4 linked regions of the Drosophila melanogaster genome follow. The main gene of each other region encodes a partner of the protein of the gene in region 4 in a complex. Each region holds a gene or a part of one and is shown on either strand. Other genes may lie near its edges. The genes, in order: Myb, HDAC1, E2f2 and Dp.

What was found.
Region 1: Dp (region 4) and Myb share a complex: the UniProt entries of both Drosophila melanogaster proteins name them as parts of the DREAM complex.
Region 2: Dp (region 4) and HDAC1 share a complex: the UniProt entries of both Drosophila melanogaster proteins name them as parts of the DREAM complex.
Region 3: Dp (region 4) and E2f2 share a complex: the UniProt entries of both Drosophila melanogaster proteins name them as parts of the DREAM complex.

What each region holds. Positions count from the first base shown.
Region 1 is NC_004354.4:15,854,315-15,859,359, forward strand, and holds Myb (Myb oncogene-like), read right to left. Parts: upstream 3,510-5,045; 5' UTR 3,363-3,509; exon of another isoform or gene 3,300-3,362; 5' UTR 3,214-3,299; coding exon of another isoform or gene 2,860-3,213; 5' UTR 2,791-2,859; coding exon 1,476-2,790; intron 1,412-1,475; coding exon 753-1,411; 3' UTR 518-752; downstream 1-517. Other genes in the region: CG15914 (uncharacterized protein), read left to right, coding at 1-393; CG46440 (uncharacterized protein), read right to left, coding at 2,860-3,213; AlkB, read right to left, coding at 3,884-4,223, 4,286-4,827, 4,879-4,995. UniProt on the Drosophila melanogaster protein: DNA-binding protein that specifically recognizes the sequence 5'-YAAC[GT]G-3'. Component of the DREAM complex, a multiprotein complex that can both act as a transcription activator or repressor depending on the context.
Region 2 is NT_037436.4:4,624,921-4,629,972, reverse strand, and holds HDAC1 (histone deacetylase 1), read right to left. Parts: upstream 3,240-5,052; 5' UTR 3,034-3,239; coding exon 2,991-3,033; intron 2,554-2,990; coding exon 2,441-2,553; intron 2,363-2,440; coding exon 1,117-2,362; intron 1,022-1,116; coding exon 858-1,021; 3' UTR 506-857; downstream 1-505. Other genes in the region: axo (axotactin), read left to right, coding at 1-157. UniProt on the Drosophila melanogaster protein: Catalyzes the deacetylation of lysine residues on the N-terminal part of the core histones (H2A, H2B, H3 and H4).
Region 3 is NT_033779.5:21,153,773-21,158,654, forward strand, and holds E2f2 (E2F transcription factor 2), read right to left. Parts: upstream 2,978-4,882; 5' UTR 2,272-2,977; coding exon 1,972-2,271; intron 1,910-1,971; coding exon 1,800-1,909; intron 1,594-1,799; coding exon 1,335-1,593; intron 1,214-1,334; coding exon 874-1,213; intron 808-873; coding exon 704-807; 3' UTR 521-703; downstream 1-520. Other genes in the region: Mpp6 (M-phase phosphoprotein 6), read left to right, coding at 3,199-3,687; Coq3 (coenzyme Q3), read right to left, coding at 3,745-4,471, 4,532-4,708, 4,763-4,791. UniProt on the Drosophila melanogaster protein: Transcriptional repressor that binds to E2f sites and represses E2f-regulated target genes. Binding to E2f sites requires transcription factor Dp. Acts synergistically with Rbf2 to antagonize E2f1-mediated transcriptional activation.
Region 4 is NT_033778.4:13,220,470-13,228,263, reverse strand, and holds Dp (DP transcription factor), read right to left. Parts: upstream 5,832-7,794; 5' UTR 5,219-5,831; coding exon 5,152-5,218; intron 4,674-5,151; exon of another isoform or gene 4,604-4,673; intron 4,090-4,603; exon of another isoform or gene 3,802-4,089; intron 2,943-3,801; exon of another isoform or gene 2,853-2,942; coding exon of another isoform or gene 2,798-2,852; coding exon 2,640-2,797; intron 2,574-2,639; coding exon 2,513-2,573; intron 2,456-2,512; coding exon 2,326-2,455; intron 2,263-2,325; coding exon 1,929-2,262; intron 1,861-1,928; coding exon 1,625-1,860; intron 1,565-1,624; coding exon 1,482-1,564; intron 1,419-1,481; coding exon 1,335-1,418; intron 1,279-1,334; coding exon 1,094-1,278; 3' UTR 519-1,093; downstream 1-518. Other genes in the region: Fsn (F-box synaptic protein), read left to right, coding at 6,095-6,402, 6,460-6,824, 6,888-6,982; CG17059 (uncharacterized protein), read right to left, coding at 7,361-7,498. UniProt on the Drosophila melanogaster protein: Component of the DREAM complex, a multiprotein complex that can both act as a transcription activator or repressor depending on the context. In follicle cells, the complex plays a central role in the site-specific DNA replication at the chorion loci.

The sequences.
Region 1 (5,045 bases), on a different chromosome or scaffold from region 4:
CATATACAGGAGAAACTGGGCAGCAAGCTGGTGAACTTTGGCCATCTGGAGCGTGAAGAGTACTTGAAGACCCTGCTGACTGGGGACATTGTGATATCAACTGCCGACCATGAGTTTTTTGGAGTAGCAATGCTGGAGGCCGCTTTCTGCGGCTGTTATCCCATTGCGCCCAACAAATTGGTCTACCCGGAAATCTACCCAAAGGAAAACCTCTACAACACCTCCAATGCGCTGACGAAGAAGCTCTACAACTTTTGTAGAATGCCGAGGGTCTTTCGCAAGCAGCGCGATCAATTCTTTGAGAACTTTAATTTCGATCGTTTTTCGGCGAAAGAACTAGTGCCAAAATATCTGGACATATTCAATAAACATATTGCAGACGAACAAAGTTAGAAATCGAAGGTTTGGCAAATGTCTATCAAAATATTCTCTGTAATATAATAGATATATTTTTGAATAAATATATCTCTCTTCTGTAACCTACAAAGCCAAAAAAAAACGATATATATATGTAAGTCCTTTGTGTTAAAACACGCTTCATTCACTTTAAGCATTTATTTATTTATGAAATATCCGAAAAAAATGGGATACAATTTAAGGTGGATGTAACCAATAATGCCATAAATGTAGCACAATAAATTCTATTTCGAAAACACAATTTGGATGAAAATTTGGGGATTCATATCTACAATATTATAAAGATGATGCGTATAGAATTTTGTTTGTAATACCTGAATATAGCCACATAGAATTTAGAGCGAACCAAAGCGGTCGAACGAATTCACCAAACACTTTTGTTTCTCGAAGTTCAGGGAGCGCGAAATACAGGACAGATTTTTGAGGCACGCATAAGCCTGCTCCTCCATAAACATTTGATCTCTGGACTTGCCACAAGCGACGCGTGCCCACTTGGGATCAATGACATGATCGTAGGTCAAGCCACCGCGGTACTTGTTAATTCTGCGATTATGGAATGGTCGATTCTCCTTTCTGCCCTCGTCGAACGGCAGGTCCTGTTCGCTGCACAGCGTGTCCTTCAAAATATCGCCCGGCGATGTGAGAAACTTGCTGGGCGTCTCGGTTTCGAAGGGTTGAATCCTCTTGGCGGAGCCAGCGTTGTATGGATGATTGGAGCTCCAAGTTGAGAGCAATGACTTCCTGGCACGTTTCATATGCGGCGGCGACTGAGCATTGTATTCGGTGCTTAGCGTTGAGTTCTGATCGGCGGCGCCCATCATTTTGGAATTGTTTGCGGTCAGCGAGTTGCTCAGATGCTCTTCATGGATGATTTCGGCCAGATCCTCCACCAGACTGGATGGGCTGGAGGGCTCGTATCGACGACCGTCCCTCTTCTTGCCGATGGCAGCAAGTGCCTTTTTGAAGGGCGTTGGTGTTCGTGGTCCAAGTTGACCTACAAATAACGATGATTGTGTGTATTCAAGATGCATTTGAAGCCAACAGTGGCTTGTACTTACTCTTGTGTGGAGTTTCTATCGACGATGTCTCCATTTCCTTTTTGATCTCCATTCCAACGCGATTATAGACCTTGGTTACCGGCGTGCTAGCCCGCAGATCCATATCTTCAAAGGTGGTCAGGCAAGGCGACTTGAGGAAGTGACTCGGTGAAAAGGGTAGCGACTTAATGGGCGATATGACGGGCGAACTCGGTGGTCGCGACCTGGCGTTTCCGGCGGCTTCTTCCTGGTTGAATGTCTCACTTGATGAACATCCTGCCTGATGGTGAGTTTCGGGAATGTGTTTGCGTGTACGCTTCAATATGATCGGTGTTTGGCGCGGCATGGTCAACTTAATGAGATGCTGCATACTGAGGTGTGCCAGATTGGATCCCTTTTGATGATCGTCTTGTGATTCCTGTGCCAGATCACCACCTTTCACGGCAGTAACCGAAGCGCCATCGGCGTTTTCGGATTTATTAACTGCCTCACCACCAGATTCCTTGTTATGTTGCATATTATTCATACACTTGCTGATGCCACCGGACTTGATCAGCGTGATGAGATGGGTTCGCGAACTCTTCAAATCGCTACCAGATGCATTAACCGATCTGCGTTCGACGTCATATTTGCGACGCATTGTTGAATTCCAATGGTTTTTAATGGCGTTATCGGTGCGTCCGGGCAGACGTTTGGCAATCTTTGCCCACTGGTTGCCCAGCTCCAAGTGAGCCTGGTAGATAATCTCGTCCTCCTTTTCGGTCCAGGCCGTTTTCTTGATATTCGGATTGAGGTGGTTGTGCCATCTCTCGCGGCACTGTTTCCCAATTCGTCCGTTCAGATATCGTGCAATTAGTGTCCATTTCTTGGGCCCGAAGTTGCGCACCAGCTTAATAACCATGTCGTCCTCGTCCCGCGTCCACGGGCCCTTGATTAGCTCCGGATTGAGGACTTTGGCCCAACGCTGCTGCACTTGCTGTTCCAGGCGATCCTTGAAATGCGGTCCGATAATCTCCCAGTTCTCACCGTGCGTCTCCACCAGCTGCTTGAGCAACACATCCTCGGACTTGGACCAGCGTTTGCCGAATCCATAGTTCGGATGCACTGCACCGATGCTAGTTTTACCGCTTTTGTTCTGTCCCTTTTGCCCCGTCGTCTTGGAGTCCTGTAGTTCGGGCGAGTCCAGTGGATAGCCCGAATCGGCATTGCTGTTCTGTTGTGAATCCTTGTCGCAAACTTGGGTATCCTCGTTCTCCGAGTACTCGGACTCCTCCGAATCCGAATTGCTGCCGTAATTCATCAGCTCCTCGCCGTTTTCAGTGCTCGCACTTGCCATCTTAAGATCAACTTTATAGGTATATATATATGAATAATGGCGCTCTTTGTATATATGTGTATGGGTTCTTTAACGCTGCTTGCGGGGCGAACAAAAGTGATAGATCTCCGGCTCTGACTTGTTCCCACGCTGGAAACGATGAACGTCGCGTTTGCAGTACAAGCACTTGGGCAAATGATCCAGAATATGCGGATGGTAGAATATGTAGTGCGAGCAAATGTCGCTGTACGAGTTACACTTGAATTGATTTCCGCACGTCAGGCAGTCGACCAGTTCACGTTGATGATCGCTGCGCAATATTGGGTGCGTCGCATCGCTCTCGGTCCGCCCAAAATCGAATAGTTTTGTTTGCTGCTCCTCGAGGCGATTTTGGTTTGGATTCGTGTTCTTTGTTACTTGAAGATTACAGATATTTGTGGACATACTCATTCAGGCAGCGAACTAAAAAGCAGATGCAAGTTTTACGATATTACGTTTATGCCAAACATTTTGATGCTCTATATTTAGCACTGAGGAAAACGGGGGAAAAAAATTACCACTCGCACATTTGTCTTCATCTAAAGTGGTGCTACCGTTATTTCAAATTCAAACTGCTGGGCTATGGGTACACACTTTGGTGTTTTTGATCAGTTCATTCACGTTTTCACACTGGAATTTTACGGCGTCGCATCTTATTATATTAAATGTAGTACTTAGTGTGACCGTTACACGAGCACTAGCGTTGTAATTCAAAACGATTAAAATCTATCGATAAATAATCACTACGGTAATCGGCACGTTTCCACTAGAAGTCAATATCTTGTACGATAGCTGGGATAGTATCGATATTTAGCTATCAACTTCTTGGAAATATTGTTAAAAAGTTGCCATCGGATAAAATAATTTTGTCAGAATTGCCAAATTTAGTTGTCAGTAGCATTTATAGGGACTGAAAAATATATTTATAAAACTATTAACTTCACCTATACATTTAAGATATTTCCATTGAACGCATCACTTCAACGTTAATTGCTATGTTTCTTTAGTTTTCAATTGAAATGCAGTTTTTTATTTTGTAAAATACTATAAAATTAAAAATTTTTCCAAGGAGGGGTTAAAGCTTAACATCTCCTGGATTTAAAACTTGACGTATATTAATATTAATACGTGAATCGTCCATATATCTCGAAAAAGGCTCCCAAAATTGAGGGTTGCCAACATCATGAAATAAATCTTTATCAATTGTACGCGTTTTAATATCTGCATTATCGACATCTTCAATTATCAGTGATAAAGTCGCGGAAGCCTGAGTTTTGATGATACGAGGAACTGCGTGATAGCATAGACGCGATTCTCCGGACATTATCATAACGTCCCCGGATTGAAGGTAGATAGCGGTTGGCTTTTCTTCTAAAGATCTTCCACCAATTAGAAATATTGCAGTCTGACCAAAACTGTAAGCATAAAATTAAAAAAAAATTAGCTGCACGGATATGTTTAATCCGTGATATATTACCTAAAAGAAAACAAAGGGGCCGATTTGTTTGGTTCAGAGTGATCTGTGTGACCCGATAACGTACTACCAACTGGATAGTAATTTACAATTGCGGCTTCTGGCTTAAAATCCGCGTATCCCAACGCTTGCGCAAACAATCCGCATAGACTGCTCAAATCTTCGGGAAACGGCGACTGCATCTCCTCATCATAGATCTTCGTGTCCCAGTTGTGATGATATCCAAATGTCGTCCAACGCATCGCGGATTTTATACGTTGGAACTCAACGCCATCGCTGCACAGATTAAGCTGTTTCCACCAGTCCGACCTGACGGATTCATCGAAGAGCCTTTCATTTAAATTGACTATATTTGGCGTTCGCGGAAAATCCCGCAGACATCGGGCGCTCCAATAACGCCGGCCTCGTTCCGAGAATGGATTCCGAATCACAATAATGCCGGGATGGTTAGTTAATGTATAGGTTCGCCAATCTTTTGGCGATTTAACGCCTGGCATTGTCTGTAGGCTTTCTACATTGCTGATACTTAATCGTTGAACAATATTCTGAGGGGAATGTAGAAATCATAATTCAATTGCAACGGATCGAGTACTTACATTATCACTCTTTTCTTGATCATTCCCCTTGACTACACAATCATCGATCTTAACAACTTCCGTTAAATCAGGACTGGTACTTTTGCACTTGTACTGCTTAAAAACTAGCTTGAACATGCTTCATAAACAATAAGTACAATATAAACAATAAGTTAATATAAACGATA
Region 2 (5,052 bases), on a different chromosome or scaffold from region 4:
CTCGAAAGTGACGCGCCCACCCCCGCCGCCGACGCTTTTCCTGGAAAACTCACTGCTGCAGCGCCAGTTCGCGAATCCAATTAGTTACTTGGGTGGACCGCGTCTGCAGCCGCGCAGTAATCGCACCAGCATCGACTCGATATTATCGCTGGATTAGCACCGCAGCCAGTTTCCAGTTCTCCGCCCACTGCAATCCGTGGAAAACCTCGCCGACTAGTCACAAACTGTCAACTGGTGGGCGGGAAAACCCCCAGTGGATCCTTTTCTCCCCCCCAAATGCCACAATCTCCTCAACTTAGAAACTCAAAGTTAAAATCTTAAAAATTGTTAGCTAGTCCTAGTTAAAATACAAATAAATTGTTACAAATTATCGTTTAGTTTGTTACTAAGAAACCTAAATGTGGAAACGTAAGTATTTTGCTAAAAATGGGAAATCGAATACTTCCAAAAGAAAATATTTAAAAGATAGCAGCTCAATTAATTTTCCATTAAAATTAAAATCAATAAATGTATAAATATTTTTATTTGATTAAATTAGTTTCTGCGTTATTCGCCACATTGGATCGCTTGTAAGTATGCATTCACTTTTTGCTTAGCTATACACTTTCGATCTTAAAATAAATTGTGTTTCCGCCCACTGATTACTGATTTATCCCCCTTTGGGAATATTCCCACTGAAAAAAAGGAGCCGATCGCAGTGGGACCTTGTGTAGGGGCGTGTAGAAAAAGCCCTGGACATGGCTACGGGGCGTGTTGGTGAAGGGGGGCGCGGGAATGAGACGACACTAGGTGAAATCCGGTGGCTTGTACTTCGGCGGTCGCTTAATTGGCTTCTATAACCAATTGCGGCCGCCACGTCAAATGTTGTTCTCCTTGGCGCCCTTGGCCCCGGCACCGGAACCTGATCCCGAACCGGATCCGGCATTAGCTGTCGCTCCGGCATCATTATCGCTCTTGTTGTTACTGTTGTTGTTGCTATTGGTATTAGACGCCGTCGATTCCTCGCCATCAGCTCCGTCGCCTGAAAACAGCATAATGGTTTAGTTAGTAGGGTTTAAATACAAATTACAAGTGGTCAGTAGAACCAATTAAAATGACTAATGGTTAATCACTCACCCTTTTCCTTTTCGTCCTTGATCTCGCTGGACGTCTCTGAGGATGCCTTGTTGCTGTTGGTGTCCTTGTCGAGACGCGGCCGCTTCCGCTGACCCTTGTACGAACGGTTATCCCTGCGACCGCCTTCGCCCTCATCCTCCGAATCGGAGTACTCGTTCTCGGGCACAATGCGCTTGTCCTTGTCGCTCTGCGGCAGGCGATCATCCTTGTCGACCTTGTCCTCGTCGTCGGACTCATCGTTGATGGCATCCTCGGGAATCGCTTGGATTTGAACGCCCGGAGCGTGAGGCAGCATGCGCAGGTTCTCGAACAGACGGTTCTTGATCTTCTCCAGGTACTCGGATGTATTCTGATTCGTCATATTGCTGGGACTAATGTGCAGCTTAAAATCGGGCCCAAAGTACTCGAAGTAATCGTTGTAGGGCAGTTCGTTGGCTATCTCCACGGCCAGTGCAACGGAGGTCTCATAGGTCCAGCAGCGGGATACATTACGAATGGTATAACCACCACCGCCGACCATCAGGAATGGCAGGTTATATTTCTTCACGAACTCCACGCACTTGCCGTGACCCTTGACGGTGAGATTGAAGCAGCCTAACCGATCGCCAGTCAGCGAATCGGCGCCACACTGCAACACCACGGCTGCCGGCTGGAATGTTTCCATCACCTTGCTGATAATGGGCACAAATATGCTCTCGTACGCATCATCATCCATGCCATCACGCAGGGGTATATTCACCGCATAGTACTTTCCCTTGCCGGCGCCAATGTCTCGCAGATCGCCAGTGCCCGGGAAATACTCTCCGTACTTGTGGAAGCTGACAGTCATCACACGATCGGTGGTATAGAACGCCTCCTCCACGCCATCGCCGTGATGGACGTCTATATCTATGTAGAGAACACGCTGATGGTATTTAAGCAGTTCCAGAATTCCCAGAACAATGTCGTTGACGTAGCAGAAGCCCGAGGCTTCCGATTTTTTGGCGTGATGCAGCCCACCGCCCCAATTGATGCAGATCTCCGAGGCTTGCTTATTCAGTTTTACGGCCGCAGCTACGGATCCTCCGGCGGAGAGTTGGCAAAACTCGTATAGTCCATCGAAGACGGGACAATCTTCGCCGACATTGAAACGCTGCATCTGCTTGTTGTACTCCGACATGTTGTCCGGCCGAATGGATCGCAAGAACCGGACGTACTCGTCCGAGTGGAACTTGGTCATCTCATCGGCAGTGGCTTTATGGGGACGCTAGAATAGAGAAATTCGCGTTTAAATCTATCATATATATATATATATCTATCATCACATATTAATAAAGTAACTCACGTATATTTCCATTTTTCGATAGAGCCCATAGTTGAGCAGCAGGTTGTGGGTCATGCGTATGCGATGGGGCTTCATGGGATGACCCTGGCCATAGTAGTAGTTGCCAATGTCGCCTATGGATCAAAAATCGCAATTATGAGCACGTTGAAAAAGTAATTATTTGCCACGCTATGTGGAATACAAATTTTAAGGCCACTGTCGGCGAGGCGTCTGCCTGAGAGCAGCACTTTTTCCGAACGACCGCAGTAGTAGCACTTTCGCCCCGAACGAAAAAGCAACAAAAACACACAGAAGAGGAAGATAGACATCAGGTACATACACACACAAACGCATACAAACGCACTGCGGTCGTATGGAAAAAGTGCGCTGTGGACCGGAACGCGCTCGTACAGTCGCCGTAAAACTTGAAATTTGCAAAAATGCTATCATCTGATGCTAAGTGGATGCGGAAAAAACACAAAGTCGACATGGTAACCCTAGCTGGCACTTTGTAAACACAAATTACCCATCTAGTAGGCCTTTTACTTCCATTTAAATGCTCAAAACTTACTGTCGTAGTAGTAACAAACGCGCTTTTTGCTGTGAGACTGCATTTTGCGGTGCTGTTGGCGGGTCTTAAATCCCCTTAAAGTCGATGTTTTTCTATCCTTCGTCGATCGGATGAACTTGCGAGCTCAGAAGATGGTTTACTTTGGTGCCGGTCCGATTTTTGGCACTTTGGCGCAACTATATAGCCAAAATCGGAGCGCACAAGACAAATTCGCGAAGAGGAAACCTCTGCAGATGGGCAGTGTGACCGCGGACTTTTTTAAATCCACACTTCCCGGCTCTGCAGAATATACTTTTAATACTAACTGCATGAATACCGAAAATACCAAACAAATATATTTAATTATTTATTAAAGAAATATATTTAATAAATTTACATATGAAATACGATTACCCTCTTCATACAGAGTGGTCATTTTTTATTAGATATATAAACAATCAGACCTATGTACTTATCAAAAATTATCAAATATCACGACATATTTTTTGGAAAAATAGCAAGGATCAATTATAAGTTTATAAAGCAAAGTTTATTGGCTAAGATCACGTTGCAGAGTCTGAAGCTGGAACTAGAGATGTTGTTGGAAAACATTTAAGTTTAAGCATTCGAATAAACTAATTGATTTCAATATTTTCTATACAAATATAAATGATTCATTATAATTTAAGAAAAACAAAAACACAGAAGTAATAGGTTGTAGTCCGGGGTAAATAATGTTAAGTCGATTAATCGATAGGAATCCATGCTAATATCGAACTTGGCCCATCGCCAGAGGGTGCATTCCCTCTCTCTCTTTCAGAGCATCACCCATCTCGCTCTAAAATCCACCGCAGTTTCCCACGATTTTCCTTCTCACTCTAAAATTCACCGTTGAACGACTCGGACGCGATTTTCCAGCGCGGGTGATTTTCCTCCTCGGTCGGCGTTTTTCGGCGGCTTCTTATCGACAAACAATAGTGCTCAAGTACAACGAGATTTTGTAGTGTTTTGGAGTTGCTGAATTAGAGGCGATTGTTAATTGAATAAAATTAATAAAACGGCGACGCGTAAGTTTCCAACTCCCCCATGTGCAAGTGTGCGTGTGTGCCCTGTGTGTGTGTGTGAAAAAAGAGAAAGAAGAATGGAGTTGCAGTGGAAACACAAACACGCTCTCTCGCTCCATCTCCCTCGCACGCACACACTCACTGGGCGAATGAAGAAGTGGAAAAATTAAAACCGAAGTAAAGTGACAAAGCGAAGTGGCCAATAATGCAAGAAAAAACATATGAAACCCGCAGTGAACATTTAAAACAAAATTAACATTTTTCATAGGCGGCTAAAATATCCTGCGCAGCTTTTCTCTTTCCGACTTTTCTCTTTTTCCCTTAAGAGTCTTTTCCTATGCCTTTCCCCCTCGGAGACCAACGCCTCTCCTTCGCAACTTTCTGTTACTTTATGTTAACTTCTCCCCTTCTTTCTCTTGGTTTTCCTCCTGTATTTTTCTCTGTTGTTGTTGCTGTGCCCGCAGGATATTTAAGACCTTTTTTTGCTGGCGTTTAATTATAGTTTTCATTGCTCTCTCTCCTTCCCGCATCTCTTTTTCCAATTAGCGTCGAAGTTCGGCGTAAAGTAAACAGCAAAAATATAGTATTTGTTGTTTTTATTTGGCCCGCAGACCGTGCAGTAAAAACAACAACTTTAACAGGCGTAACTGTAAAGTCCGCTTTGCTTTTGATAGCAAATAAAGAGAATCGGAATCCGCAGCAAAGTTTTGATTTATTCTAATTAAAAAAGGTAAGTGCGATATAAAACCGGATTATAGCTCCTTTTCATTCGCACCTCCTTGGCCCGAAGTGCCGTTAGGAAGAGAAGCCAATGAACGCAAATAAGTAAACACAAAAACTAAAAAAAAGAGTGCTAGATTTGCTCTCCCGCTGCATTTCTATTTATGCTTCTGTGGCTGATAATGTGTACAGTGAAAAGTCGAAAGATGAAAAAATAATGAAGAAATGGAATAAAGCTTAACTTAAGGAATCTTAAGACTTGTTGTTTGTTATATTTCGACACATACTAACCATTTCTT
Region 3 (4,882 bases), on a different chromosome or scaffold from region 4:
TGGACCATTAAAGATGTCTCGGTTTAAATCATTCAAAAAGACTGGGAAAGGGAAAACGCAGATTTTGCTGCAAACAAACAGCGGGACTACTGCACACTTTTCCCAGACACATTGAAAAAACCGTGGTTAAAAATCCCAAATGTAAACTTAAATCTACAGAGATCAAAAGAATCAACAGACTTCTCAGCGATAACGGATTCGACAATTATACTTTGAATAAAGTACATGTTACAATAACATAAGGGGACCAAGTAACGTTTTCGATAACGTATCCCACATCTTAATCAGCTGTTCCAAGTACAACACTTTCCAGCCCTGGAAAAATACCAAGACATCAACCATCTCTCTAAAAACGTAAACATAAACGCTTAACAAGGCATCATAGATTTTCTAGACCAAATTAAAACAAACCTATAAATCTTTCCAACCTTCCTTGGCACTTTCCACATACACGACCAAATAATTCCACGACATTTACGGAAGTTACCTAAAACAAAAAAATACACAACCTACAATGTGTGCATTTACGAATTTATTGGTTTTGCTGTTATTTGCGAAATTACAAGGTATTACACTAATTAAAAATTTCTAGACGATATAGAGAAATCCAAAGTCAAAATTGTACTAATCATAAATATTTGCACAATGCACGCGGCCAGTTGCAGTGTAGCTATAGTCCTAAGGTGTACATCCCCTTCCACAGTTAGGAGCACTGAACATCAAACAGCTCGCAAATACCTTCGTCGCTTTTTAACGCAAAGTTGAAGTCTTCCTGCGGAGGATTCAGCTGCAGCAGCGGCGGGTTTTCTGCAACATCGGACAGCATCAAGTTAAACAGGGGGTCTTTTAAATTGGCAAGATAAGAAGACAAACCTAGATTCGGATCATCGGGATAAAATCGCCGCAGCGAATGACCGGACAGATAATTTTGGAAGATTATCTTGGCCGTCAGCTCGTTCTCCAAAAGTTTCATCTCATCTTTCATCCCGGGATTGCACGAGTAACCGTGCTCGTCGGTGATCACGTTCCCCGCGCATGCTGGAGCGTTACCATCCTCGCTGGAGTGCGACGACGTCGAGGGTGAGGGCGTGTCCAGACGGTGATAGTCAAAGAACCCATCCACATCGTGCGGATTTGTAGTACTCTTTCCTTGGTTCGTCACCAGGCGAATGTCAATTGCGCTGCCATTGTCCAGCGACACGGCCAGCTCGTACTACAAAAACAATGTTTCGTTTGAATCCCATATTATACGATAAATTTAGATATTTCTTCGTTGAAAGAAATGGGAAACCTCGAAAGCTAGTTTAAAGAGCTCCGACTGGTAAGATACCTACATGATTACGCTTGATATCTACTTCCTCGTCATAATTAGGTATTGTGAATACGGAATCATCTCCAAAGATGTCCAGCAGATCATCACGTGTCACATATGCATACGACCTATTCGAGGGATCCTGCATAACGTAGCGCAGATTGCGCTGTGCATACTCCAGTTGCCTGTCTAGGTCATCCTCCAACATTTTCAAATGATTAGTCCGGCTACGTGCCAGGTCGTAGTTCTCTTGGTCCTTGGCATTGTTAAAGCCCCCTCCGCTGGAAAATGCACATTATCAATAATTTATCAAGAAATATTTATGTGGAATCATACTTTGAAGATGATCAAAGTAAATTCCACCTGTTTGTACTGTATTAAGTATTAAGTGCTAAAGGGCGACTTCCACCCCATTTTGTTTAATTTTGTTGTCACTAACATTTTTAGTTCTAACTAAAATGTTTCATAAAATGTAAGGGGCTCTTACCGCCAGCGCACTAGGGAGCAGTGTCTGCCCTTATCAATTAGTCCAATGCCCTCTAAAACATTGGTAATATCGTATATTCGGCGCTTCTGTACGTCCAAGATTTTGGTTGCCTGCAGAGGGGAAATTTGGACGATGTTAAGGTAGAGTACTTAATGCTTGGCCGTGTTAGTACCGCTTTCAGGTCGATGGATCCTTCGTTGGCCTTCACGAGATCCACAAACTTCTGTGTGAGCAGGACCAGTGAGCCCACGGAGCGCTGTTGTCCAGGCTGCGATTGCGATTGTGAATTCGACGGAGACTTGATTGGCGTTGGAGGATCCGGTGATGTGTCCATGCTAACGGGTGTAGACTCGTAGCTCTGCGACCGGACCGAAGTCTCAGCCGAATCCACCTTCATCATCATAGCCGAGGAGGTGGTGCCCGCTGCGGAGCTGTCTCTTTTAACAATACTCGCGGTTTTGCGCTTGTACATGGTCCGCAATCGACTCGATGACTATACTCCTGTCCTTGTAACTCTTTGCGTGGCTGCACTCAATATGCAGCGATCAAGAAGCCGGAATTAATTGCACTTTGGAGCGAAAATTAAACGAAAATACGAATGTTGGCGCTAGGTTTGCTTTCCGCCATTTATGTCATTTTTTTCATTCTCCCTCTATTCTTCGTGCGCACTGCGCAGTGTGGCAAAGCGACGCTGCCACGACGATAGTAAATCGATTAATCGATGCTTGCGCACATTTCAACACTATATTTTAAACAGGTAAACATTTTTAATATTTTGATCTTTAATTTCAATTAATTTTCATTTAAATTCTGTATTTAGTTTAGTCTGCAGTCCAACACACAGATCATCCAATGTTTTCTACTTGGTCTTCAAATGTATCATCACGAATAAATAATAATTATTTTAGTACTCCATAATATTTAGCCATTCGTTAAGGTTTATTGTCCGATAATATTGGCGACAACTTTTAAATGAAATTGGGTCTTTTTTAGGTTTCAAATTAAAAGCATTAACCCTTTGAAGGCGCCTGTGCTAGTCTTGATCGTTTACAGAGCATGTATAGCACAGCTGGAAGTTTTCTTAAGAGTGCCCATGAAGATGGAGTTGAGCTTGTTTGTCAGTAGGGTGAATTTAAAATTTTAAAAAGATCAACTTGATAACGAAGGATTGTTTTAACTTTCAACAGTAATTTAAATATTTACTTTAAACATCGCATAAACACGAGGGCGCGCCACGTTTTCTAGCTAGGCTGAACGATGATTTGCAGCACTGGCTTTCCCCATTTGTTGTGCTCGGTCATTCTGCTTTTGAAAAAAATTAAATGTGCCTGATGGTTTCGCCCTAGTTTTTAAACTCAAAGGACTTCTACTATATTAGATTCAAAAATAAATAAGGAAAATGCCATCCAAATCAAAGCCGAGACTTTCGCGTGGTGTCCTGGACATGAAGTTCATGCAGCGCACAAAAGTTAAAGTGGAAAAGGAGGCAGACGATGAGCAGAGCAGGGCACTGTACTCCAACGAGATCAACCAGAAGATGCTCAATTCCACCTCGAATTTTGTGGTGGAGTCCAGCTACTCGATATGCGCCGGCCTGATAGACGGACGCCTCAGTTTCCGCGGCATGAATCCGGAGCTAGAACTTCTCATGGAGCAGGATCTGGCGGAAAAGCAGGGCCGCACAAGGCCGGAGCAGCCCAAGGAGGTATCCGACCAAGACATGGTAAAGGCTTATTATGCCAACAAGGCGCCCACGGTCTCCGGCAGCATGAGCAAGAAGTTTAACACCAAAAAGGACTTTAAAAGGAAGCAAATCGGCGGAGATAGTGATAGTCCGCATGCCATGAAGAAGCAGTACTTTAAGAAACCACGCTCGGGTGACGAATAGTTTACTACTTAGTTGTTACACTCGTGACTTAGCTTTTAGTTAAATAAATATACGAATTCAATTGTACTCGCGCTGTGCTTGTTTCACCGCCTGCAAGGCGTAGCACATCTGGTTGTTGTTGATCCATCGCCAGGTGTTGCTCCAAAAGTCGTAGGTGCTTCCATTTACCAACACCGTCTGACAGTTCACTGCAGATGAACGAGAGAATAAAGAATAGCCTAATCTGAATATAAAGCCTGAGATAAACTTACTCGTATCCAAGATGCGCTGAACGTCCAAGGGCGAAATCATTTTGTCCCAGTGGTGCGTTCCCCTGGGCACCAGATTGAGAACATACTCGCTGAGTAACACGCCACCGAACCAACTGGGTATGGTTTTGTTCAAAGTGGTGATAAAGATGGATCCTCCAGGCTTTAGGCTGCGTACACTGGCCTCCAGCAGGGACACTTTATCTTTGACGTGCTCCAGAACTTCAGACACTATCACCGCATCATAGCATTCGCAATTGGCCTTGGCATGCTGATCCACCGGCTCAATTTTGTACACCACATTGCTGGCCAACTCCGGACTGGAGCATTTGAGATGCTCGCGAGCAGCTTCTATTAACTTCTCGCCAAGATCTATGCCAGCCACCTGGGCACCCAGGCGCGCCAAGTGTTCCGTAAGCAATCCTCCGCCACATCCGACCTCCAGAATATTTTGACCCAACAACACTTTGGTGGTATTTACGTAACCTGGCTTCACAGTGCCACGCGAAACGATGCCATCTCTGATAAAGGGAACCCTGAAAGGTGGAAAGGAACTTAGCTATAAACCTTTGGAACATCAAATCTGTATAGCTTACCTAATCTCATTCAGGGCATGTAGAGCACCCATGGTTCCATTTTGATTCCACCACTCCGAGGCGTGATTCTCATGGTGCCGCACTTCCTTTTGGGTGCCGGCATCCAACGACTTCGCTGTGCTGCTGCTTCTAGTCGAATTTCGCCCGATAGAACAGGATAGCAAATGTCTCAGTTTGCTGGAATGCAAAACTGTAATGTAATCTACTTTTGCAGTCTATTTTTTGACTTACCCGCTTACTAACAAGGCATTTCGCATCATTTTTGCGAGAAAAACAAACGTTGATAAACAAAAACAGCTGACTTTGTTTTGCTGCCCGGCGAAAGCATGGGCGTAGCCAGGTGCATTAAGG
Region 4 (7,794 bases):
ATGGATTATTGGACTTATTGCTTGGGTTGGGTGCAAGCAGAAGGGAGGAAAAGATTAAATTCTCTGTTTATCATATTTTACAATATGCAAATTACTTCTTTATTAACTTGTCACTCGGTTCGATTTCGTCTCACTTGTTTGCAATTTCCTTTCCATCCATGCAATTATTTCGTTTCATTACACAACTACATGCTCGACACTTAATTGTTAACGCCTTATACTTGACTACTAATTTGTATTTGCATGCTGTTGTATTCACTTGAAGAGGGTTCAATAATATAAATACAAATTCTGAAAATGTATATCGTGTTTTAATTGTTATTACTAATTAGGTAGGTTGATTATTTCGCAACTATCTGCACTCCCTTGTCAACTTAAAATTTGGGTTTTGAGAATCTAAAAGAATCGCTTTGTCAAAGGGTGTTAGCAAATTAAACATATTTCATATGTTCGCTCTTGTCTGCAGTTCAAACTGCTCGTGGCATTCTAAAAATAATTGCATTTCACTGCGGTTGTGTACAGTTTTGGTATATTATATTATTAAGAGACAATTACCCATAACATTATCGCTTTTGCTTAAGCCTACCCAAACATGAAAAGGCCATTGGGGGGAAAAGGGAGACTGATAACAACTAATTAGAGAGTGAACATTAGTCTGGGCATGTGGTTTCGCGGTATTGCCTTATGTGAATTGTGGTTTGAACTAAAAACGCGTTCTCCTTAACTAGACAAATTATTTTAAAAACGTTTCAGCTTAAACATAAATCTTCAATGATACAATTACAAACTGTGTATGCAAACTACACTTACATACATGAACTACCGAATCTTTCTCGTCGCTGCGAGATTGTATATATATAATTTAAGAGTCTCATTGAGAAGTAAACAAAACCAATTGTGTGGGTGGGTCGGATTGGGTGTGGAGTGGATTGGAGTGGAGTGCGGCTCCTGACTAACCAGGGGGCCGTGGCAAACCTAACAAAGCGTTGATAAACGTAAAACTAAACGTGTCCTCCGCATCAGCATCTGCTCCTCCATCCGCATCCGTGTCCGCATCGGCCATGGCTGGCACAATGACGGCGGCACCATCAGCTCAATCAATGTCGTCGTCCAGCTCGTCATCATCCATCTCCAGCTTGAACTCGCCATCGGTGGTGTGTTGTGCCGAGTGTTGTGCAAAGCCCTGGGACTCATTGGCCGACTCCAGGTACCCGTTGAACTCATTGTCCTCGTCATCCGATTCGTACATATTTTCGCCAGTCTTGCCGGTGCCGTAGGCTGGGCCAAATATAAAGTTTAATAACAGTGAATTGGAAGACAATATATGGTCATACCTTCTACGTATTTGGCAAGGTTTGGAGGCACCCACGACTTGACTCGTTCAATGTTCTCCGGCGTGCATTCGCCCTTATCCAGTCCTGCAGGTAATAGCATATGCAATGAATTTCTTATCCCGAATGCCCAATATTAAACACACTCACCCAATAGGAATCCCATACGCTTGAGCACCTCAATGTCATCGTGCATTTCGAAGGTTTTGTCGAACTTGAATATGTATTCGGACCTGAAACGATATATGGGAAATAGAATACAAGCCATACTCCGACTGAGTGTGAGCGCTCACTTGTCGTTGGTCACACTGCAGTTGATTTTCGTGGACTTGTGCGTGTTCACGATGATGAACGGTAGCTGGATCGAGGCATTCGGGGAAGGCACCACGCCTTGGCTCTCGTTTCGCTTGTTCCGCTCGACCAATCCCTTGAACGCCACATGCTGCATGATCATTTCGCGCAACATTTCGTTTTTCTGTTTTATTCGCTCGCGGCGCTGACAGTTTTCCTCTTCCAGGGCCAGAAATGTCTATGAAAAGGGGACAAAATAATCACATTAGCATGGAGTTTGGTGCCTTTGGTGAACACAAGTCCCACCTCTGTCGAATTTGCGGGCAGTCCTATCCAGCGAATCTCCTTCTTGTCCTTGGAAATAACATTGATTGCCATCAGTACGTTGAGCGCATCGTAGACACGACGTCGGATATTCTTTTGATCACAGTTGTTGTCGTACGCATTGTTCTTCATCTCCTCGCTGACCAGGTCGTCGGCCACCTCATTGTAGGTGGTCTTGCCCTTCTCCTCCACCTTTTCGCATACCTTCATCGAGAAATGGCGCAAACCTTTGCCTGCCTTGTCCGGCTTGCGTTTCCTTTGAACGGACGATGAGGAGGCCGACATGGAGTGCAACGAGTTGCTCTGAATGGCATGGCTGTTTGGGAAGGAACAAAGCTATAGTATCCTCCTCGATCCTGCTCGGTTGGTTACTACTTACAGTTTTGATTTCATTTTTATGGGATTTGGTGTAAACTTCACATAGCGATCTCCCTTCAAGGGCAAGTCGTAATGACCACTGCCAGCACCCGAAGTCTTTTGCGCCGAAACGGTGGTGTAGGTGGTACCTGCTACAATAAGGGATACAATGATTAATTGAAGTGGTAAGAGGAGGATCACACGCTTACCTTCTGTTTTTGGAATGGACAGTCCGTTGTCCTGCAGTCGTATAAACTGCCCTTGACTGCCCTGCGTTTAAATCGGATCGTTAGGTACTAAGTGTAAGCAACGTGAGCAACCGCGTTCTACACTTACCATCTGACTAAAGGCGCCCATGCGTCCCACGTTGCCGATGCCGCTAGCACTTCCGCTGTTGCGCGCGGATGAGCCGGTGGCGTAGACCACCGCCACGGGCTTACCTCCCTCCATTTCGGACTTGTTCTGGGCCGGCTTCAGCATTTTGGATATTTGTCCTGCAGAATTGGAAATTGGAAGATGCGGAGGTTCCTTAGTTTCCGATATACACATAACACGCGACTGAAATGCCGTCGTTGATAACAAAACTGCATGTACTCCACAGACACACACATGGGTGTCAGAGTGTTAGCGAGTAACTGAATGTATGTGTGGTACTATCAACGATGCGTTTTTTCGCCGTATATACGGTGAATTCATCGCAGCGAAGTGAAGAGAATGGAATGGAGCGAGTTAAGCGCACTGGAGTCGGAATACAACAACGAAAGGCGAGCGGCACATTAAGATTGGGGTGCATACACACATACACACAAGGTATACCCACACTCACGTGCTGGTGGTGAGTGTGCGTGTGTTTCAATCGGTGTGACAAGGATACAAATGCAGAAGCATAAACAACCCGAAACCAGATCGCCTGGACATTAGTGATGGCAACCACGTGACCCTTAACCAATTAGAGATGGTTCGATACTAAAGTTCGTGACTCGACAAGATTGTTGATCAGTCATTAGTCGGATTAATCCAAGTTCGAATATAATTTGAATTAAATATAGTGCGATTATAGGTTTCCCATTAAAACTCACAATTCGACTTTTAACTGGAAAGACAATAAATCAAGCAGAAGCCTAAGCAGAAGAAAAAGTAAGAGCAAATATGATACCGGTTAGTATTTTTAAAAGCGTGACATTTCAAATCACTGTTCTTAGTTGCGTTCTTTAGTAAATTTTATTTACTGCTAATTTGGTATATCCAACACTATGAGCACTTCCATTCCAAAGCAACTATAATATCAAGGCAGAATTAACCGGAAACCCATTAAGACTACTCGGTTGGCACCCCTGGGTTTCGTATCCAACCGGCTTTTCTAAACATTTCCAGTTTTAGATGGTATTCATTCGATGTAATAATTGTTCACCTGTCGCCAGCCCAATATTTGCATAATCATAACAACAAAGCAGGTGGACAACGCATAATGGAGATGAAGATGCCCAAAACAAAAACCGCAAAGGGTCGAGCGCTAAAAATACCTGCCAACTCTCCCGCACCCACGGGCACATCACACGCACACACACCTGCAAGTGAGTCAGACTCACGGGGGCTTGAGCAGCGGACACATGCGAGAAAATGCCGGACTGTCCCACCAGATGGTAACGATGGGAGTCTTAAACTCGGCGGGAGTTATCCTACAATGCCTAGGCAGAGTCCCAAAATGCAGGTGAAACCATAATCCCTACAATTGGAGAAGCAGTTCCATAGTTCGTCTGCACCAGTCAACCAGCAGATAACTACAAACCAGGTAACTCGCTGGTACGAACAGGCTGATATACTGGTCTATATAAAGCGTTTATGCGCGCTTCATATTCAACAAAGAGCAATATCACTGATTAAAAATTACTATTTCTTTACATATTGGGGATTAAAGAGACATTTTATACAAATAAAAGCACGTCATAAAGCTATCCATATCTTCTTCTTTGCTATCATGACTGAATGAAACTCATGAAGTTAATCAGTTCAGTACTGCGGGGTACGGTAAATACCGCATAAACGCGGCGACGGACAACTACACACGTGTACAGCGCTTACACCTATTTGCTCTCGCCTGTTTTGGGCTTCAGCTTCGTGGCTGACTACGTGTGTGTGTGTGTGGCAGTGTTGTTCTTGCTGTGGCCTTTTTTCTCTCACCCCGATCTCTCTTGGCGGTGCGCCCCGTCTCTCTCCCACTCGCTAAGATATGGCAGAATGTCACGCTGTTCAGATACATTTGTTTCAAGTTGAATTTACAATGTCCCTCACAATAATACCTTTGTACGTAGCTGAAATCAACGATTTATCACTACTTCACTTCATGCTAAATCCTCAAAGCGAATTCGCAGTGGCGGCGAAGTAATCAGCTGTTCGCCGCCCAATGAAAAAACAAAAAAATAAGTAGGAGAAAACGCGCGCGTGCTAGTGTGCGTGCATGTGTGTGTGTGAGCAAGCGCGCCAACTGGGCGATGGGCGTAGATGGCAGAAGGGGGCGGGTCTGGGTGGCTTACTGATATAAGTTGTTATTTCGCGGGGGTCTCTGTCTTTTATTATTACTTTTTGCCAATTTCTAGCACTCTTTTCGGTTCGTCTCGCTGGCCTCCCCCCGCAAAGCGTATCAAACGATGAATACGGTAGGCAAAAGAAACCCGAAAAAGCAAAGATGGCGTTTTACGCTGCCCATGCAACTTTGTAGCGTATCTGTGTGGGTCGCCTTGTGTATGAGGGGGTGTGTGTGTATGATGGACTATAGCGGAGGGAGGGAGTGCACTCACTCCATCGTGAGCAAAACTCCTATTACAGGACACCGCTTCCGCCCACTTACCGTGCTCGTTCCGGAAGAAGAAGTTCACCTCATCGGTCTTCACCGTACCGCCCGTCGAATGCGCCATTTTTCGGCCGCCGGAGATCAAGTGATCTTGTTGTTGTCGCTTACCGCTCACCAGGTGGACCGCCAAAAACAAAAGGAAAGAGCAGTGCTACGTGCCGTTTCGCCGCAACGTGTGTGCTAGGGGGGGGCAAATGGAGCTGGAATGGGCGACGGCGGTGGATAGGCGGACGTACTGCACCCACGGACTGGGGCACGTGTGCAAATCCGGATGCGGACCACGACCACGACGACGACGACTGCAATGGGGAGCGCACTTGTACAAAAAATAAGTGTCGCCCAAGTCAAAATGGCGAGCGCATTTTTCACTTCCAGCGGCAGGGCATTTTTTTTTTCTTTTCTGCTGCTCACACACACTCACAGCGGCGGCCCTTTTTCGGTGGCCTTTTTCGCGGTGTTTCGGCGCACGGATTTTCACGAGATTAGTGGCAAAAGATACGGCGAACTTTTAGCTATCGAACGGCTGGCAGCAGCGCGAATTTCCGCAATTTCTAAGCGCAACAAAATGGTCACAAAATTTCCACCAAGTGGCTGCTTTTCGTTTTCATGTGGGAAAGGCAAAGCAGGCTGTGTGCGGGTGCGAATGAAATGGCAGACAGTGCGCGCCAATTTACGCATCAATTTACGCAGTGTTGTAAGCAGCTGTGTGCGACAGTCGCTATCGCACACTGGTCGCGGATGTAAACAAAGTTGCCACTTTGTCCAGGTGAGCGGTATTTCGCTGGCAGCCCGCCAACGGTCACCCTGAATCGCAGAATATTAAAGTTTTCGAGTTTTATTTTTACCCATTTGGTTGGTGTGGGAAAATGACAATCAACAGGAACGGGTAAATCCAAGCAGCTATCTACACGAGCCCAGCAGCGGAGCGCACACGCACACAATGGTCGATCCGGTGGCGGCGCTGTGCAATTACAATGTGCTGGAGGTAATCTTCTCCTACCTGGAGCTGGACGACCTCAGTCATTGCTCGCAGGTGTGCAAAAGTTGGTACCACTTCCTCAACGACGAGAACAGCGACGTCTGGCGCTGGCACTGCCTGAACAAGCTGCCCAAGGAGTCCCTCAAATCGGACCTGCTGGCCTCCGTCTCCACGTACAAGACGAAGCTGCGGGCCTATTTTCACGCCTGGAGCCCCAACGACTGTTCGAGGAATGTGTACATTAAGCCGAACGGATTCACCCTGCATCGGTAAGGTATTCGGTTTGCTTGAGTCGGCGTTATATGTATGTCCCTCCATTCCCGCAGCAATCCCGTGGCGCAGAGCACAGACGCGGCCCGGGGCAAGATAGGATTCCGCCACGGTCGTCACACCTGGGAGGTGATATGGGAGGGACCGCTGGGCACTGTGGCCGTCATCGGCATATCTACCAAGGAGGCGGCTCTACAGTGTCACGGCTATGTGGCTCTGCTCGGCTCCGACGACCAGAGCTGGGGCTGGAATCTGGTCGAGAACCACCTGCTGCACAACGGCGACATGCAGGGCAGTTACCCGCTGCTGAACAATGCTCCCAAGTACCAAGTGGGCGAGCGGATACGCGTCATTCTCGACTGCGAGGACAACACCTTGTCGTTCGAGAAGAACTACGAGTTCCTCGGTGTGGCCTTCCGGGGTAAGGGGAAATAGTTTGGTGATACCAGCGATACGAACGATTCTATGCACTTTCACCTTGCAGGCCTGCCGGACAAAAAGCTCTATCCCACAGTATCCGCTGTCTACGGCAATACCGAGGTCTCGATGGTCTATCTGGGCACGCCGTTGGACGGATAGCTTTGCAGAGGGCCTACAACTTGGTTAACAACTTCCACGGATCCATTAGGTTATTGTGTACATTTGTATTTATCTCAATTATGATTGCTTCATTCCACCTGAAACTCAGTTCGATAAATTTAGTTAATAGTTTCGTTTTTTTGTACAAAATTATGCATTTTGTTGATTTACGCTAAGCCAAAGTTCATATCCACCTCGGCACTATCTCACATGGCAATTTACCTTAGTTATACGAACCAAATGAATATAATAAGCGATTAAACAATAGTTGAAGCAATTTTTTATACACCAATGATCGCTGATTGTGCAAGTAAAATTACAGACAGAAGAACGAGTCGCGAATACAAATCTTTCAATCCATTTATTGCGTGGTGGCCTCTACTGTTTCCCATCGGTTTTCATCTTGGCCCAGTTGTCTTCATCGAACAGATCATCAAAATCATTGTAGAAGTCAGCGTGGACGTGCTTATCGTTGGAGGGCAGGTGGTCCATCATCATTCCTGTGGCTCCGCCGGACTAAAGGAATACAATATAAATATATACATATGTATATGAGCGTATGGTGGCAGGTTTTTAACATTTATGTAGGATATTGCCATGAGCATTGATGAAAACTCTGGACATGGGAACAATTAATATAATAAATAAAGTCGCCAAAAGATGAAATGAAAGATACATATTCCTGTTTTGCGGGGAAACACTACTTCTAAAGAAGATTGTAGATTTATCTGATTGTTGTTTACTTTTAATTGCAATGTTGGCTACAAGGATAAACAAAGTTTTCGACGACCATATTCTTCGATGGGAAGCTA